Linked DNA regions of Saccharomyces cerevisiae S288C. The gene in region 3 interacts genetically with the main gene of each other region. Each region holds a gene or a part of one and is shown on either strand. Other genes may lie near its edges.

Region 1 (4,489 bases), on a different chromosome or scaffold from region 3:
ATGGAATTTAGTAAATCCTGCAGTTCCTTTTCTTGATCTTTATTAGATTTTCTTTTACTTGTGGCGGGTGAATTTTTACTATTCGTTTGACGCTGAGGTTTAATTCTAAGTTTAGACCATTTGTTCAACTCTAGGTGGAACATATATAGGTCGTTATAGAAAACGGACTCTAAGGATTCCTCTGTCTCTTGTAAATCGTAGACACCACCAAAAGCAACGGACTTGTTTTGCTTCCATAGATTGAACGAATACCCGACTCTTGGTGAGGGCTGGTTCTTGAAATTCTTTAATTTTTCCCACTGCCACTTCTTTGGATCAGGCGTTAAGTTCAGTTTCCATGCATCATTCAAGATTTTTCCCTTCATTAAATTTTTATTATTTTTGGCAATGATTTTACAGTAACCACCCATTAATATGGCAGAATTATCTGTAGGAATGAAACAATGACCCGATCTAGCGTCAGGTTTGCTGTTTGTCTCCAATTTGGTCCATTTGTAGGTTGAGATATCAAAACACCACAAATCATTTAGGTAAGAAGTTTGACCATTCCCCAAATCTCTAAATCCACCAAATAATATGAAATAGTTTTTCCAAGCAATAATTCTATGACCTGATCTGGCGCTGGGTGAAGAGTCTCTACCGCCAAACTCCAACTTAGTGAATTTCCTTTCAACGCAGTCAAACAGCCATGTATCAGAATAGTGGTAGAATTTAGATTGTTTTGGGGACGAAAATTCACCACCGTGTAACAGTGCTATTCCGGAAGGATGCACAGCGACAGCGGCACTGGATCTGGGCAAAGGTGCATTTTGCGAAACGTATTTTTTCCAAGAGTTGTTCTTTATGGAGTATGAATACAAATCATTATAGAAATGTGTTAGTTTGGTTTCTGGATCTGTAAATTCACCACCGAAAATGAACAATTCATGTTTATTGTGTTGCGGATTTGCAAACATCAACGGATGAGTACGACAAGAGGGTTTTTCCACAGAAGTGATGTCTACATGCTCTAATTCAATTTGCTTTTTGCTAAAGCTAGAGAGAATTTCATCGAGATCTTGATCACTTTCATCATCTTCTTCGCCGTTTAAAGACTTATTCTTGTTCTTCTGAAACTTTTTCTCCTGCTTTTTTTGGTTTTTCTGATTCTTCAGTTCAGCACGTGCCTTTTTGGCCTCTTTATCCTTCTTATTCTTCTTTGCCATTAATCACTTCTACGAGTCTAGTAGATCTCTTCTCCTTCCTATAAGTGGTTAATGTATTCTTCGAGAAGCTCATCATTTTTTTTTTTCATTTTTTTTTTTTTTTTCAGTTTTCTACAATTTCATCAAATCAATGGTTAAACCGGGCAGAAAAACTACCAAGCGTTACTTTTACTGATGTTAGTACTACTACCGCAGTTATTGCGACTACTACATTAACTATAACTATACAAGAAAAAAAGTAAAGAGGGCTCGTAAAGCAAAGCTTGGTATCTCCTACATAGTCAATACATAGTAGTGAGTCGCCTATAGCCATTCTGTAATGCCATTTGTTAAGACGTGTCCTTAAACCCTTCCGAATCGCCGCGGGCGACATCATAATGTCAGTACCTAATAATGGTTATTATTCGTACCCTGTGGTTAGAGAGCTATGGAAGCTAGCAGTAAATGTCTCTAGTTCTTGCTATCACTACCATATTGGAGAGGCTTCAGGCCCCTCCCCTGAGCCGATCCTCGGAATGACTACCCCGATTCCCGGAATGGGCGTTCGATGATTGGCTCTTTCCTGTAAAGCCTTTTTGCGTTTCTTATAGGCTATATATAATCTTCATCACTGTTGTAGACGTTAAACAAGCATCCAACAGGAGGCCGGACCGAACACACGGGGGAGTGACTCTAGCTCTTTCTTCTGGGATATTCATATCGTTTCTCCATTACATACAGTCATTTTTTTGCATTTTTAAATTCGTGACTTTTAGTACTGCAGCTGTTTTTTTTCTCACGTCAAGAAATTCCATAAAGTCTAACTATTAAACGGATAAGAGATACAATCATGTTGAGATTTACCAATTGTAGTTGCAAGACTTTCGTAAAATCGTCATATAAGCTTAATATAAGAAGAATGAACTCCTCGTTCAGAACTGAAACCGATGCATTTGGTGAGATACACGTGCCTGCTGATAAGTACTGGGGTGCCCAAACTCAAAGATCCTTTCAAAACTTCAAGATTGGTGGCGCTCGTGAAAGAATGCCATTGCCTTTGGTGCATGCATTTGGTGTTTTGAAGAAATCTGCCGCGATTGTGAATGAGTCTCTGGGGGGATTGGATCCCAAGATCTCCAAGGCTATTCAACAGGCCGCTGACGAAGTGGCTTCTGGTAAGCTAGACGACCACTTTCCATTGGTTGTTTTCCAAACGGGTTCCGGTACCCAGTCTAACATGAATGCTAATGAAGTTATTTCCAATCGTGCCATTGAGATCCTAGGAGGCAAGATTGGATCTAAACAAGTCCATCCAAACAATCATTGCAACCAATCTCAATCATCCAATGATACTTTCCCCACTGTCATGCATATCGCTGCCAGTTTGCAAATTCAAAACGAGTTGATACCTGAGTTGACCAATTTAAAGAACGCCCTTGAAGCCAAATCCAAGGAATTTGACCATATTGTGAAGATCGGTAGAACACACTTGCAAGATGCCACGCCTTTGACACTAGGTCAAGAGTTTTCCGGTTACGTGCAACAAGTTGAGAACGGTATCCAAAGAGTGGCACATTCTTTGAAAACATTGAGTTTCCTGGCACAAGGTGGTACTGCCGTTGGTACAGGGTTGAACACCAAGCCCGGATTCGATGTCAAGATAGCCGAGCAAATTTCCAAAGAAACTGGACTAAAGTTTCAAACCGCCCCTAATAAGTTCGAGGCTTTGGCTGCTCACGACGCCATTGTCGAATGTAGCGGTGCTCTAAACACCCTTGCTTGTTCTCTTTTCAAAATAGCGCAAGATATAAGATACTTAGGGTCCGGGCCACGTTGCGGCTACCATGAACTAATGCTGCCAGAGAATGAACCAGGTTCCTCAATCATGCCTGGTAAAGTTAACCCAACCCAAAACGAGGCATTGACTCAAGTGTGTGTGCAAGTCATGGGTAACAATGCAGCTATCACGTTTGCCGGCTCTCAAGGTCAATTCGAGTTAAATGTCTTCAAGCCAGTCATGATCGCCAATCTATTGAATTCGATCAGGTTAATTACTGATGCCGCATATTCATTTAGAGTGCACTGTGTTGAAGGTATCAAAGCCAATGAGCCTCGTATTCATGAGTTGTTGACTAAATCTTTAATGTTAGTCACCGCTTTGAACCCTAAGATCGGTTATGATGCCGCTTCCAAGGTCGCCAAGAATGCTCATAAGAAGGGCATTACCTTGAAGGAAAGTGCATTGGAATTGGGTGTATTGACTGAAAAGGAATTTGATGAATGGGTTGTTCCTGAACACATGCTAGGTCCTAAATAAACGAGCTAAATACCTAATAATATACAAGTTTTTTATGTCTTATTATATGAAGGAAAATAAGGAAGTGGAGAGAATTTGTGATTCAGCAATGGTCCCTCCGCTAAGGTCCCGCCTCTGGCCAGTTATGTCAGAAGAGGAGCATAGGCATACATTCCATTTTTGATGGCTTAATGGGGCCCATAAATTTACATCACTACATTATTATTCCTATACAAGTTATAATAAAATAGTTCATAAATGAATATTTTGCGTCATTTTTTAATTTCTTGTCGTCGGGTAAGGGACCTAGTATTACCCGCATCACGGAAAGGGGAATTTTCAGAAATGATAACGAATAAGAGAGTACACCAGAAGAGCAAATCTCTTTAAGAAGTTTAGCAGCAAATATCGGTTTAAAAACAAACAAAAGCAAAGGAAAAGAACTACTAAATCTTCGAGGACTTTCCCAATTTTTAAAACGCTGAAATTGTATTAGAAGAGAATAACTGTCTAAAAAGAGCATGTTTGCATCCGCTGGACAACAACACCCTCAAATTGTTCCTAAGGAAGAGGAATCCATATTAAACTACCTCCTTGAAGTGAGATCCTCCTTGGCTAAACTCAAGCAAAATAGGACCCAGTATTTGAACTCTAAGGATGTCCAAACTACTTACCAACACGTCTTGACCAAAGTCAGAGAGTTGGACGATATTAGGAAGAATAGTCATGAGACGCCCGCTAAGAGCGCCGCCACCCTGATTCATAGTACTGAATTGCATAATAGAGTTGACTCCGTACTGGATGATGTCTTTCAATTGCTCTCGTTGTGTTTTTTAACTGTTGGGCTAAAAAATTCTGCACCTGCGACTTATGCATCGTTATCTACTGTGGAGAGTCTTTTGGAACATTTAAATGAATCAAACGTCTTCACCCATCACGATTTGAGTCCTATTAAGGAAAGGCTGGAAGAAATCAGCAAGATTGTCGAACAAAAAAACTCTAGTCCTGC
Region 2 (3,525 bases), 630 kb from region 3:
CTAAACCCATTTTTATTTTCATTAATATCCTTATGGAAAAACCTCTCCTGTGTTATACTTTTAGCCTTAGAAATTGATAGAATTGAAGAGGAGAATGGCACTTACGAAACGCCGCTTATGGTTCGCGCCACAATTCGTGGAGCCGCAGCATTGAGGTCTGTAATAGCTACCGTTCTCAATGGATTAGTGAAAAATAATGATCATGATTTCAAGCACGAGTCTTTAAACACATTCATGTCGCCCTATGGAAGAAAATTGTGTCATGGTGCTTTATATGCCGATTTAAGGTCACATACTGCATCTCTACTTGCGCTTGGAGCAAGCATCGAAGATGTAACAGATTTATTTGCCGATTTACAGTCAGGTGATAGATTTGATGAGGATATTAGATATATGTTTGATTATGAATGTGAAGATTATGATGAATCTTTCTCTGAAAGCGATCATGGAGGATTGGATGAAAGCGTTGTTAACCCAACAGAAAAAATAGCATCTGGTAGTAATAATGTTTTCTTTCGGAGACGGTGCAATTGCATCTTCAATGATGATAAGTTGGTGGCAGAGGATGGTGCAAATGAAGCCTTTGGGTCAACAAATAGCGAAAACGTTGAAGGCGCAATGCATAATAATAGGAATGCGGTACATAACGCGACTACAGCCACTTCTGATCACGTCGTTACGTCACCTAACCCACTTTCCGTTAGATCAAGAAGTACTTTTGAATTTGACTATAGTGGGGAAGATTGGAGGGACGTTCCCAGAGATTTCAATATGTACTATTCGCCATCTTATTCATTCATCCATGAGCCTAAGTTAGATGTCATATTTAGTTTGACTCTACGTGGCGCAACAGAAAAGTTGAATAAGGAGGAATCCATATTGTTAGTGCGTTCAGTTGCATCGTGTGTAAGGAACGAGCAGGACCAAATGATTTTAGCAGACCTGGAGTCTAATTTTTCCGCAAGTATAAACGGCGATGTAGAAGGTGAAGGAAATACCAAAATGTCCAAGATAGATAATGAAGATCTCAGAAGAACCACGCCGGATGATATTTATGAAATATGGTCTGAAGAATCAGCATTTGAAAGGATGCTAAACGTGAATCACGACGTTGCGTGGAGATTAATGGATGAAATGTTAATGTGCACCGGTTATAGGAGAATATTGATATGGTTCCTTACGCATTTGGAGTTAAAACATTCGTTGATATATTACGTTTTTGAACTAATAATGGGGTTACGTGGAAAACCGTTTTCCGGAGAAGCCAGTGATCAAGATAAAAAGGATGATATGATATATGAGATCTTGAAGAAAAAGCAGAAGAATGAAGATGCTTCAGGACTTCCCTTTTCAAGGCAAGGACCTATCGTATTATCTGATATTGAGACTAAAATGTTACTGCAGGAGTTTTTTATGAATGCTGCTATTTTTTTGTCATCAAAAAATAACGAAGAAGAGAATGAAGACGGCGAGAAAATCTCCTTGTACTCCCTTGGTTTGGTTAGGTTGATCTGTTACATGGTGCAGACACTCATCGCGAACGACAAGTTTTTTTTTACCAAATCAGAATGCACTTTTGAGCTTCAAACTTTACTGATGACATGGATTGGCATCCTTCCTGAAGCCAAAGATTTATTCTTTAAGATCAAGACAAGGCTCGCCATGGAAGAAGAGGATAGTGCCGATACTATGCAGCATGAGGGCAGGAAGAACTCTGACATAGAGAAGAAGCTAAACGCTAAGCCAGCTTCTGAACTGAATCTGAAATTGTTAAACCTGTTTCCCTCAAAGCCTGCAAACAAAGACGATAGTTCCCCTATTAACACGTTGCGTAGTTTTATCGCTGATTACTCCTTCGACACCCAGGTGAACCCTCCAGGAAGAAGGGTGGTGTTCTACGATGGTAAGATTTTGCCATTGCCCAAAGCCGATAAGCCTATCCCACTTCATGAATATATAACACTCGCAGAGCTCGATGTTGGAGACAGTGAGTGAGCAGTGAATTGCTCATGTTTTCTCTGCATCCTCATTTAATGACAATTAGCCATGTAATAACATCTTGAGGCAGTTAAATATTCGTTACCCTGCAGGTGGCAAAAAATTTATAGAATAAAAGCATAAAAAGATGGATATCTATGTAATAAGGAAACATTGGCAGAGCGAAGAGAACAGACTGCTTTCTATAAAAAGTTTTCGATCAGTCTCTATTTTAATAATTGATTATTGGATATAGTTAGTAGTGTTAAACATGGGTTCCAGAAGATACGATTCCAGGACAACAATTTTCTCCCCTGAGGGACGTCTATATCAGGTTGAATACGCGCTAGAATCCATTTCACATGCAGGTACCGCAATTGGGATTATGGCATCTGATGGGATTGTTCTTGCAGCAGAACGCAAAGTCACAAGTACTTTACTAGAACAAGACACCTCTACCGAAAAACTTTATAAGTTAAACGATAAAATTGCGGTTGCCGTTGCTGGACTGACTGCAGATGCAGAAATTCTAATAAATACGGCTAGAATTCACGCTCAAAATTACCTTAAAACCTATAATGAAGATATACCAGTAGAAATTTTGGTGAGAAGGCTAAGTGATATAAAACAAGGTTACACGCAACATGGTGGTTTAAGACCATTTGGTGTGTCCTTTATCTACGCCGGTTATGACGATAGATACGGTTACCAATTGTATACATCTAATCCATCGGGAAACTATACAGGGTGGAAGGCTATTAGTGTTGGCGCTAACACATCAGCAGCACAAACCCTACTTCAAATGGACTACAAGGATGATATGAAAGTCGATGATGCCATTGAACTGGCTTTAAAAACGTTATCCAAAACTACCGACAGTAGCGCGCTGACTTATGACAGGTTGGAATTTGCTACTATCAGAAAGGGTGCTAATGACGGAGAAGTGTATCAGAAGATTTTCAAGCCTCAAGAGATAAAGGATATATTGGTAAAGACTGGTATTACCAAGAAGGATGAAGACGAAGAAGCTGATGAAGATATGAAATAAGGTTGGAAAGTATTGTTTGACTTCATGCTTATATAAATATGTACGCATAGAAACATATCTCTAAAATTAAAAGTGAAAGAAAAAAATCGCTAAGATTCCCCTTTCGGGGGAAGGCTGAAGAAACTTTTTTTTGCGCAAATTTCAAGATCGGAATCGCTCGAGAGGCAAATATAAAAAAGGGCCTGCTCGTTTGGCCTACTTGTTGTTGGATTCTAACTCCAATCTAATTTTGGCAGCACTTCAAAAATAAACAAAAGCGATGTCTGCGTCACTAGTGAATCGATCATTGAAAAATATAAGGAATGAATTAGAATTTTTGAAGGAATCAAACGTCATATCAGGCGACATTTTCGAATTAATCAATAGCAAGTTACCTGAGAAATGGGATGGAAACCAAAGATCGCCCCAAAATGCAGATACAGAAGAGTACGTTGAAGCTTTATATGATTTTGAAGCTCAACAAGATGGAGATTTGTCATTGAAAACAGGTGATAAAATAC
Region 3 (5,140 bases):
GATAAGGTTATCTGGTTCCTGTATTTGCAGTTTATCGAAGCGGGCAGACCAGGTCAGCTCAGGACAATTCAAATTCAGATAATGAGGCACAGACTAATCATAACACGAAAATTGAATACATCCCACGATATAGCATAACCAAATGTCGGAACATAACTAGCAATACAATTTTTACATCGGGCCGAATCCGTCGGAGAGTGATAAGACGGAGTTAAAATATCTCTCAAAACCATGGAACAACAATATGTGTACATATATAAAGCTTTTGAGTGAAAAGATTTCTTTCCACTATTTACTGTCAATTTTATTCAACACGAAAGGGAATTAAGTGCACATAAATACTTCATTTCTTGATAAGGAAGTATAATATTGCTCCTAAGAAGAGTTTGAAATGAGCGATGTTCTATCTCAATATAAAGGGTGCTCAGTCAGAGATTTACCCACACCCAATTTCGTTATTAATGAAGAAAAATTTGATAAGAATTGTACGACAATGTTGAACAACGTTGAAAAGCTCAGCCAGGAATGTGGCGTACCAATCAAATTTCGTGCACACGTAAAAACGCATAAGACAGCAAAGGGAACTTTGAAACAATTGGGCCACGGACTTCCATTGGCTAAACGCACTACAAGAGCCATATTAGTATCAACTTTGAAAGAAGCAGAAGAACTTCTTAATTATCAAGATAGACAATGTTCGGATTATATTGACGATATAACATATAGTTTACCCTGTTGCGTTCCAGAGTTTATTCCTCTTTTGAGCAATTTGTCAAGAAGGGTGAATAATTTTCAGGTTTTTGTTGATAACATTGAACACTTGGAGAATTTAAAGAATTTCGGTAGGCCTGCTTCCGGCAAGAAATGGTCGGTTTTTATCAAGGTTGATATGGGGACTAAGAGGGCAGGTCTTGCTTTCGACTCTCCAGAATTTTTGAGTCTTTTAAAAAAACTGACTTCCTCAGAAATTAAAGAAGTAATTGAGCCATATGGGTTTTATGCTCATGCCGGACACAGCTACTCTTCAACCTCGATCAACGACACTCAGAATCTTTTGATGGAAGAAGTGAAAGCAGTCAATTCTGCCGCTAAAGTTTTGTGCTCTGTGGATCCTCAGTTTGATCCTTCTAAATTAACACTTTCTGTGGGCGCTACTCCGACTTCCAATTCTTTGAAACTCGATAATAAAAGTACCCTTGTTAAATTCATTACTACTCAATTAGTTAGTACGCTTGAAATCCACTGCGGTAATTACTGCATGTATGACCTGCAACAGGTGGCAACAGGCTGTGTCCAAGATCACGAATTGTCTGGTTTTGTATTAGGAACAGTACTATCATCTTACCCTTCTAGAGGTGAATTGTTGAGTAATACAGGTGTAATGTGTCTAACGCGAGAAGCATCCTCAATAAAAGGGTTTGGAATATGTGCTGATTTGGAACATGTGTTAAAATCCGAGAGTTTCAGTAGGGAATGGTATGTAGCAAGGGTCTCTCAAGAACACGGGATACTGAGGCCAATAAGAAACTGGAACGAAACTACTCCATTAAAATTAGGCAGCAAAATTGCCGTCCTTCCTCAACACGCTTGTATCACAATGGGACAATTTCCATATTATTTCGTGGTAAACAGCGAAGGCATTGTCAACGATGTTTGGTTACCTTTTCAGAAATGGTAAGCTCTCTTTTGTCGTTGGTTATCACTCTCATCAAAGCATCTCTGTGTCTATGTAATTGTGTATCTATTTATAAATAGTAACTAAGAGTAAGGTTGTACACAGGTTGGTCTAAACACCCTCTTGTTAAGCTTCCGCATTACCTGCGAGCTGGTAATTGTAATACAGATTTATTTGTTGATATAATGCTATGAAATTTCAACTACCGTCATTGAGCTTCTCAATAAAGTCGTTACGTACGAATGAAAAATTTGAATAATTTAAACCTTCGAAAAGATCTTTGAGTTGTACTTATTAAACCTGAAGTAGATCATTAAGACAAACAAAGCTCTGACTGACACCAATAACTCCTACAGTGATGACAGCTATCTTAAACTGGGAAGATATATCCCCTGTTTTAGAGAAAGGCACCCGCGAATCACACGTGTCTAAAAGAGTTCCCTTTTTGCAAGATATATCACAATTAGTTCGTCAAGAAACATTGGAAAAACCTCAATTATCTGAAATTGCTTTCGTTTTATTGAATACCTTCACGATTTACGAAGACAATAGGTCTAAAAGTTTGGTAACTTCAATATTGCTTGACATCTTAAATCTAGAGCCATGTCTCCTAGAAAACTTTATCCGATTCATTTCCGACGTGGTCATCAGTAATCCGGCTACCAAAGCAGTCGCTGATTACCTTAATTTGTTAGATTGGATTAATTCTTTCTTGATTTTTGTGTCGCATAATTCTAATTTATTTGAAGAGTACATTCCAAAATTGTTGGTCGCCCATTCTTATGCAACGTTCGGTGTGGAAACTATTCTTGACAATCAAGAAGAAGGCAAGAAATCCCAAGATAAGCAGAACCAGCATAGAAAGAGAATTCGTTATTGCATTTTCCAAACAACGGTCAAAGCATTCCTTAAGTGCTTGAAGGATAATGACGACAGTATTTCCTTCATGAAGATTTCAATTAAAACTGTACTGGAGAGCTACTCTAAGCTGAAGATAACCAGTGTTGGAGTAGTTATGATAATGGGTGCACTAACTCAGGCTGCACTTCAGTTATTATCGAGGCAACCAGCTCTGCACTCCGTTTTAAAGGAAAATTCTGCAGAGAAATATTGCGAATATTTGGGCAAAGAAGTGTTTTTAGGCAAAAACCCACCATCTTCCTTTTGCTTAGAGATTGGTTTGAAGCCATTTTTAAAAGAATTTGTTTCACAAGAGTTATTCATTAAGTTTTTCATCCCTAATATTGAAAAAGCAGTTTTAAGATCTCCTGAGGTTGGTTTTTCGATTTTATCTGAGTTATATGCTGGTGTTTCTCCTGAAAAAGTAAATCTCTTAAATGCCTTTGCTTCCTCGAAACTGATTAATCAATACTTCTCGTCATTTAAAAGCTCAAAAGAGGTAGTTAGATCCGTCTCGCTTCAGTCTATGATAATCTTATTGAGAAAAATTTCCAATACTGACACTACCTTGGAAGATTTGACCAAGCTTATTGACGAAATATTTAAGAACATCAAATCGAACTTAAATGCAGATTACAAATCACTTATTTCCAAAATTCTCATAGAAATACCCTTAACGCACTATGAGGTTTCAGAAAAAATCTGCAAAGGGCTGTCCCCATATATTGGTAAAGAAGGTAATGAAGCAGCCTTGACTCTAATGCTTAACGCTTTTTTTGTTCATTATTTTAGTCTGGGCAAACCTATTGAAGACTTGGATAAAATTATATCAGCTGGTTTTGCAGATAAAAAACCTGCTTTGAAAAAATGCTGGTTTGCCGCATTTTTGAACAATTCCAATGCTGCCTCTGAAGAGGTGATTTTAAACTTTATAGACGGTTGTTTGGAATTTGTGAAAGACTCCATCATACATTATCAGACTCACGGGCATGCATGTATTCTAGCATCAATTGAATTTACAAACAAAATTTTGGCATTGGACAATACTGAGCTAAATGATCGTGTTATGCAGCTCATAGAAACCCTTCCTGAAAATTCTTCGATAGGTGATGCTATCTTAACTGCTGCATTATCAACAGAGCTATCCATCGAAAACCGTATTCATGCTGTTAATTTACTACAAGAATTGTTCTACAAGAAACCCGAATTTATTGGGTTTAGCGTGATTGATGCAATTGAAAGGAGAATGCGTGTCCAAGAATTAATACCTCAACAAAATACATCCTTTAAATATGTCACTTCTGTACTACTGGCCATTACGTCTGAGTTACCTGACAAGGAAGCCTCGATAAAGGTATTAATCAATGCTCTGGTCATAGCGCAATGGAATATTTTCAACATTAAGAATGGCTGGGCTGGTTTAGTTTTACGTGCAAGGCTTGATCCAGCTGAAGTTGTCAAAGAACATGCTAGCGTTATCATGGAGAAGATTCTTGAAATCACAGGTAGTTGTGAATGGATAGATACAATTTATGGTGCATGCGGTTTGCAAGCAGCTGCCTATGCAGCATTTATTCAGCCTAATGAGTTCACACCGATCCTTTGTAAGACTATCGAAGCAGATTTAACCGCGGATGATTTCTCACGTTTATCTGAAGAGGACTTCGAAATTTTTGCAGGAGAGGAAGGTGTTCTGGTGGTTGACGTCCTGGAAGAAAGCATGAATAAGAAACTTTCCAATAAAAATTCTAAAGAGTACGAAACTCTAATGTGGGAACAAAAAATAAGGAAGGAGCAAGCCAAAAAGAATGTGAAAAAACTTTCAAAAGAGGAACAAGAGCTCGTTAATGAACAGTTAGCGAAAGAATCTGCAGTTAGATCACACGTTTCGGAAATTTCCACTCGTTTAAAGCGTGGTATTAGATTGGTATCTGAACTTTCCAAAGCTGCTTGCTTAGTCCAAAATGGCATCGCTACTTGGTTCCCCTTGGCAGTCACAAAGCTTTTGTACCTATGCTCGGAACCAAATATTTCAAAGCTAACAGAGGATGTAAATAATGTGTTCTTGCAGCTTTCTCAAAATGTCTCCGAGAGATTAGGTAATATCAGACTTTTCTTAGGTTTGGCGACTTTGCGTGTGCACAATGCTAATGGCATCTCGCAAGATTATTTACAAGAACCACTGGTTGAATTACTTACAAGAGTTCTTTTTAGGATCAAGTTCGTCTCCAACCAAGCAGCAATAGATTCCATCAGTTTGACATATATTTTACCATTGTTGATTAATGTTTTAGAAAAGGGTAAGGCGATTGCATTAAAGAATGCGGACAAGCCTGTTGTTAAGGCTGAGTTTGTTGAAGAAGATGAAGAAGAAGAACATCTGTTACTGGCCATGGAAATTATTTCTGTACACGCTGAAGCTTTTGAGGATCCTTCCATTCCGAGAATTTCCATTGTTGAAGTGTTACTATCTCTTCTATCTTTACCCTCAAAAGCGAAGATTGCTAAAGATTGTTTCAACGCTCTGTGCCAAAGCATATCTGTTGCACCAAATCAAGAAGACCT
Region 4 (6,019 bases), on a different chromosome or scaffold from region 3:
CATTACAATTAGCTTATTATTGAAGGTTTTTGATTCTAAGCAAACTAAGGACAATATTAAATTTTTTTGCATGCTTAGCACAAGCTGCTCCTCATTGGTAAAGTTTATAGTTTCATCCTTGGCTACAATAGTTTCAAGACATGTTGACAGATTTAATAGCAATTCACAATTAACGTCCTCCTCATCATCTTCTTCCTCTTTTTCGATGTACTCTTGATTTCCTTGGCCAGCGAACTTCTGAGTTTCAGTATTTGAATATGCTTCGACTGCTCCATCTTCCATTGCCTGCAATTCTTTATTTTGCACATTTGAAGAGATTTTTTTGATGTACTGGCTTAAGAAAAAGAGATCGCTTATTTGAACATTTGAGTAATTGACTTTTAAAATATCGTTCAATAAATCTGAACCTAAAACAACTTTTTCGGGAGATGACAAATAGCTATATTGTGTGGTTTTCAACAAAACAAATAATGGACCTCTAATGAAGGGAGCCAAATTTTCTGTATACTTGAGATTTCCAATGCAAAAATTCCTTAGTAGCACAACTGACCGCATCTGTAATTTATCCACTAAGCTATCCTCACTCTTGTCAGAAGAAATTTCGTCCAGCTGAAGAACCCCGCCTATATAATAATTAAGAAGCTTTTTACCTCCAGAATCCAAGAGAATTTCCCGATTATCATCATTATCAATTATTGCGTTAGCGATACATCTAATCACTTCAGAACTGATCTCATAAAACGCTATTTTATCATTAATTGAAATGCTCGTATCATGAAAGCAGATATCAAGCGCTTGTTCTAATACTCTTACTAGGTTCAGTAGCAGCCCAGTTTTACCAACAATATCTCTATTACTTGGTTCTCTCAACGAAACAGCCAATTGGTCCATTACCGCTAGGTAGCTTCCTAAGTAGACATCGTTCATCGGAACATCCTTTATTGAAGACGCATTGAGGATCGGTTGCAGACCAAATAAAATTTCTTCGTAATCCATTTAGTAGGACAGTTATTTTCACTTGAAACCACAATCTTTTGGGGCTGAAATATAGATGAGGTGATTTGTTATTCGCGGTTAGTTTTAGTTCGCGAGTGACCTGCTTACGTTGTCTTCAGCCATTTTACGTTGCTTGGCTTGCCGCCGGCGGGTAATATGATCTTATTTTGACATGGTTAAAGAAAAATACTTTTGACTAAGTACCTTTATCACAAGAAAGTTTAGGAAGGGATTCACTATTTGAAGATCAGACAAATGAGTATACGATATTGGCTCAATATTTTAGCCGAGTTTGCTTAAACTTAGTGGCAGAACTTTAGTCATGGGAAGACAAGAACGATCTTACGAGGCCCTTAGGACCTCGGCGGCTAACAGTAAAACTGGTAACTGACGGACAAGGAATATCAAGGTCATATTTTGAAAAGGTCTTTTTGGGTGACTACTTGGGTAAGAAATAATTAGACGAAGTTTCTTTCTGATGTGTATTGAACTAGTGCTCGTGCTTACATACACATCGCCCATTATTGCCTATAGTTATCCTCACTTTATACGAGGTCTGGCCGTTAACGGTTCTTTTACATTGAAAAACTAAATCAGTCACCCACGCAAATAATGAAAAAAAAAAAAAAATCAAAAGCGAAAAGAAACCTAACGCATATTCTATTCAAACGTTGAATGATTGTATTATTATAAATCATAATCACGTAAAGCCACCGAAATTTTTTTCCAGAGTGAAGAATATAAAAAAAATATCTTTAACCAGTCTATAATGTCTTCTGGTTTGGTCTTAGAAAACACGGCACGTAGAGATGCGTTAATCGCCATCGAAAAGAAGTACCAAAAAATATGGGCTGAAGAGCACCAATTTGAAATCGATGCGCCATCAATCGAAGATGAGCCCATTACAATGGACTCTGAAGAGTTACATCGCACGTATCCTAAATTCATGTCGTCTATGGCCTATCCTTATATGAACGGTGTTATGCACGCCGGCCATTGTTTTACTCTCTCCAAAGTCGAATTTTCTATTGGTTTTGAAAGGATGAACGGTAAAAGAGCTTTGTTTCCATTGGGTTTTCACTGTACAGGTATGCCAATCTTAGCATGTGCCGATAAACTAAAGAGGGAAGCCGAACTTTTTGGCAAGAACTTCGACAATGTACCAGCAGAAGAAGAAGAAATTAAAGAAGAAACGCCGGCTGAGAAAGACCACGAGGATGTTACCAAATTCAAAGCTAAAAAATCTAAAGCCGCAGCCAAGAAGGGCCGTGGTAAGTACCAATTCGAAATCATGTTACAGCTTGGTATCCCTAGAGAAGAAATCATTAAGTTCGCCGACGCCAAGTACTGGTTGACCTATTTCCCACCTTTGTGTGAAAGTGATTGTACTTCACTTGGGGCTCGTATCGATTGGAGACGTTCTTTTGTCACCACTGATGCCAATCCTTATTACGATGCCTTTATTAGATGGCAAATGAACAAGTTAAAGGCTGCTGGTAAAATCAAATTCGGTGAACGTTATACTATTTACTCTGAAAAAGATGGTCAAGCTTGTATGGATCACGATAGACAATCCGGTGAAGGTGTTACACCACAAGAATATATTGGTGTGAAAATTGAAGCTTTAGAGTTCGCCGATGATGCCGCAAAAATCATTGATTCAAGCTCAGATCTTGACAAATCCAAAAAATTCTACTTTGTCGCTGCCACGTTGAGACCGGAAACTATGTATGGACAAACATGTTGTTTTGTTTCTCCAACAATTGAGTATGGTATATTTGACGCTGGTGATTCTTATTTTATCACTACTGAACGTGCATTCAAGAACATGTCTTACCAAAAGCTAACACCAAAGAGAGGCTTCTACAAGCCGATAGTTACTGTCCCAGGTAAGGCATTTATCGGTACCAAGATTCATGCCCCACAATCTGTATATCCAGAACTAAGAATATTGCCTATGGAAACTGTCATTGCTACCAAGGGTACTGGTGTCGTCACGTGTGTACCATCTAATTCACCAGATGACTACATTACCACCAAGGACTTGTTGCACAAACCTGAATACTACGGCATTAAACCTGAATGGATTGACCATGAAATTGTTCCAATTATGCATACCGAAAAGTATGGTGATTTAACTGCAAAGGCTATTGTTGAAGAAAAAAAAATTCAATCTCCAAAGGATAAGAACTTGTTAGCAGAAGCCAAGAAAATTGCTTACAAGGAAGATTACTACACTGGTACCATGATATATGGTCCTTATAAAGGTGAGAAGGTCGAACAAGCCAAAAACAAGGTTAAGGCTGATATGATTGCCGCCGGTGAAGCTTTCGTCTACAACGAACCAGAATCTCAGGTCATGTCACGTTCTGGTGATGACTGTATCGTTTCTTTGGAAGATCAATGGTACGTTGATTACGGTGAAGAAAGTTGGAAGAAACAAGCAATTGAATGTTTGGAAGGGATGCAATTATTTGCTCCTGAGGTAAAAAACGCATTTGAAGGTGTTTTGGATTGGTTGAAAAACTGGGCTGTTTGCCGTACATACGGGTTAGGTACCAGATTGCCTTGGGATGAAAAATACTTAGTTGAGTCTTTATCAGACTCTACTATTTATCAATCATTTTATACCATTGCTCACTTACTATTTAAGGATTATTATGGTAACGAAATTGGACCATTAGGCATTTCAGCTGATCAAATGACAGATGAGGTTTTCGATTACATTTTCCAACATCAGGATGATGTCAAGAACACCAATATTCCTTTGCCTGCTTTACAAAAGTTGAGAAGGGAATTTGAGTATTTCTACCCATTAGACGTCTCAATTTCCGGGAAGGATTTGATCCCTAACCATTTAACTTTCTTCATTTACACACATGTTGCATTATTCCCAAAGAAATTCTGGCCTAAAGGTATCAGAGCTAACGGTCATTTGATGTTAAACAATTCTAAAATGTCGAAATCTACAGGTAATTTTATGACTTTAGAACAAACGGTTGAAAAGTTCGGTGCTGATGCAGCTCGTATTGCGTTTGCCGATGCGGGAGATACTGTTGAAGATGCAAATTTTGACGAATCTAACGCTAATGCTGCTATTCTGAGATTATTCAATTTGAAGGAGTGGGCAGAAGAAATTACCAAGGAATCTAACTTGAGAACTGGGGAAATTACAGATTTCTTTGATATCGCGTTTGAACACGAAATGAATGCTCTGATTGAAAAGACTTATGAACAGTATGCATTGACTAATTATAAGAATGCCTTGAAATACGGTCTTTTTGATTTCCAAGCTGCTAGGGATTACTATCGTGAAGCTAGTGGTGTAATGCATAAAGATTTAATTGCACGTTATATTGAAACACAAGCCTTATTGCTGGCTCCAATTGCGCCTCATTTCGCTGAGTATATTTACCGTGAAGTTCTAGGTAACCAAACCTCTGTACAAAATGCCAAATTTCCACGTGCATCCAAACCAGTAGATAAGGGTGTTCTGGCTGCTTTGGATTACTTGAGAAATCTACAGAGAAGCATAAGAGAAGGCGAAGGGCAAGCACTAAAAAAGAAGAAGGGCAAGTCTGCTGAAATCGATGCATCCAAACCTGTTAAGTTGACTTTATTGATCTCTGAATCATTTCCAGAATGGCAATCACAATGCGTGGAAATCGTCCGTAAACTATTCAGCGAACAGACTTTAGACGATAACAAAAAGGTCAGAGAGCATATTGAGCCTAAAGAAATGAAGAGAGCTATGCCATTCATTTCTCTATTGAAACAACGTTTAGCTAATGAAAAGCCAGAGGATGTGTTTGAAAGAGAGTTACAATTCAGCGAAATCGATACTGTCAAGGCTGCTGCAAGGAATGTTAAGAAGGCAGCACAAGCTTTGAAAATTGCTGAATTTAGCGCAATTTCTTTCCCATATGGCGCCAAAACCGGTAAGGATATCTTTACTGGTGAAGAAGTTGAAATTCCACCTGTAACAAAGATTGTTGAAAATGCTGTTCCAGGTAACCCAGGTGTTGTCTTCCAAAATATTTAAAGGAGAATATTTCAAGATGCCTCATGGTGATTTTCCGATAAAAGATACAAGAAATTCTCATAGAAATACTTATAAAGATCAATAAACAGCAACCAGAAATCACGTCGCATTGATAATTTGCCTCGTATATATCGTATAATTATTGTAATTGCACAACTGTTTTTGTTTTGTATTCGTTCATTTTCTTGTAAAATGTTTCCACATTTTCTTGTGGAGGATATGTATATTGATTCTTTACTTATTCGTGTTATTTTAGCTGCAAATATCTGGGTTTGAGGGCTATTTGACTAGTCTAGAGAAAAGTAGTCGTGAGAAAACTATATTAGATAGATGGATGAGAGGAGCAGGTCAATAAGTAAAAGAATAATAAATAAATATATAAAAATATACATGTAAAAAAGGTGTTCTAAATGAATGATAAAGTTTATGAATGTAATATACTCTAAGGATGTAAGAAAAAAACCGTTGCGTATGTATAATAAACAGGTCTATGATGTTAAAAGATGAAAAGGCCTAATAAAGTGAACAGAACCGGAAGAAACTAAAAATAAATAAAACCCAAGTAACCACGTACAAAAAGCACATTGATGCTAAGAAGATCTCCCTGCTAGGAAAACAGAAATCAGAATGAAACGTTTCAATAATCATCCCTCAAGTTTTTTCTTCATTTGGAGCAACGTCACTACTGACTTTTTTCTCCCCTTTCCTCTTCTCTTTGAAAATTCATCCATTTTCCGCTGAAGCGTCTCACTTGTTTTATTGTCAACTAATGTATTTCTCTTAGCACTTACATGAATAAGCTCATTTGTGTTCATTGATTTTTCCTTAGGTGGATGAAAAGGCTTCAAATTTTTCAGTAGTTCACTAGGTATATTCTCCCACTCTGAAAAGAATTCAAGTCCAGTGGCAGAGGAAATCCATGGTGATAGAGGTTCATTTAAATCTTCAAGCTTCATCGCAAATTCGTATAACGTACTTCCG

Evidence for each region.
Region 1: mutations in GCN1 (region 3) and FUM1 together harm fitness more than expected from each alone (negative genetic interaction), as found in Saccharomyces cerevisiae (3 studies listed by BioGRID).
Region 2: mutations in GCN1 (region 3) and PRE9 together harm fitness more than expected from each alone (negative genetic interaction), as found in Saccharomyces cerevisiae (4 studies listed by BioGRID).
Region 4: mutations in GCN1 (region 3) and CDC60 together harm fitness more than expected from each alone (negative genetic interaction), as found in Saccharomyces cerevisiae (3 studies listed by BioGRID).

The regions. Positions count from the first base shown.
Region 1 is NC_001148.4:45,302-49,790, forward strand, and holds FUM1 (fumarase FUM1), read left to right. Parts: upstream 1-2,034; coding exon 2,035-3,501; downstream 3,502-4,489. Other genes in the region: KEL3 (Kel3p), read right to left, coding at 1-1,205; YPL261C (uncharacterized protein), read right to left, coding at 3,695-4,003; CUB1 (Cub1p), read left to right, coding at 4,002-4,489. UniProt on the Saccharomyces cerevisiae protein: Catalyzes the reversible stereospecific interconversion of fumarate to L-malate.
Region 2 is NC_001139.9:759,144-762,668, forward strand, and holds PRE9 (proteasome core particle subunit alpha 3), read left to right. Parts: upstream 1-2,248; coding exon 2,249-3,025; downstream 3,026-3,525. Other genes in the region: CCR4-NOT core subunit CAF130, read left to right, coding at 1-1,995; LSB1 (Lsb1p), read left to right, coding at 3,285-3,525. UniProt on the Saccharomyces cerevisiae protein: The proteasome degrades poly-ubiquitinated proteins in the cytoplasm and in the nucleus. It is essential for the regulated turnover of proteins and for the removal of misfolded proteins.
Region 3 is NC_001139.9:129,492-134,631, forward strand, and holds the start of GCN1 (Gcn1p), read left to right. Parts: upstream 1-2,033; coding exon 2,034-5,140. Other genes in the region: D-serine ammonia-lyase DSD1, read left to right, coding at 392-1,678. UniProt on the Saccharomyces cerevisiae protein: Ribosome collision sensor that activates a translation quality control pathway when a ribosome has stalled during translation. Directly binds to the ribosome and acts as a sentinel for colliding ribosomes.
Region 4 is NC_001148.4:245,225-251,243, forward strand, and holds CDC60 (leucine--tRNA ligase CDC60), read left to right. Parts: upstream 1-1,765; coding exon 1,766-5,038; downstream 5,039-6,019. Other genes in the region: BEM4 (Bem4p), read right to left, coding at 1-996; PET20 (Pet20p), read right to left, coding at 5,683-6,019.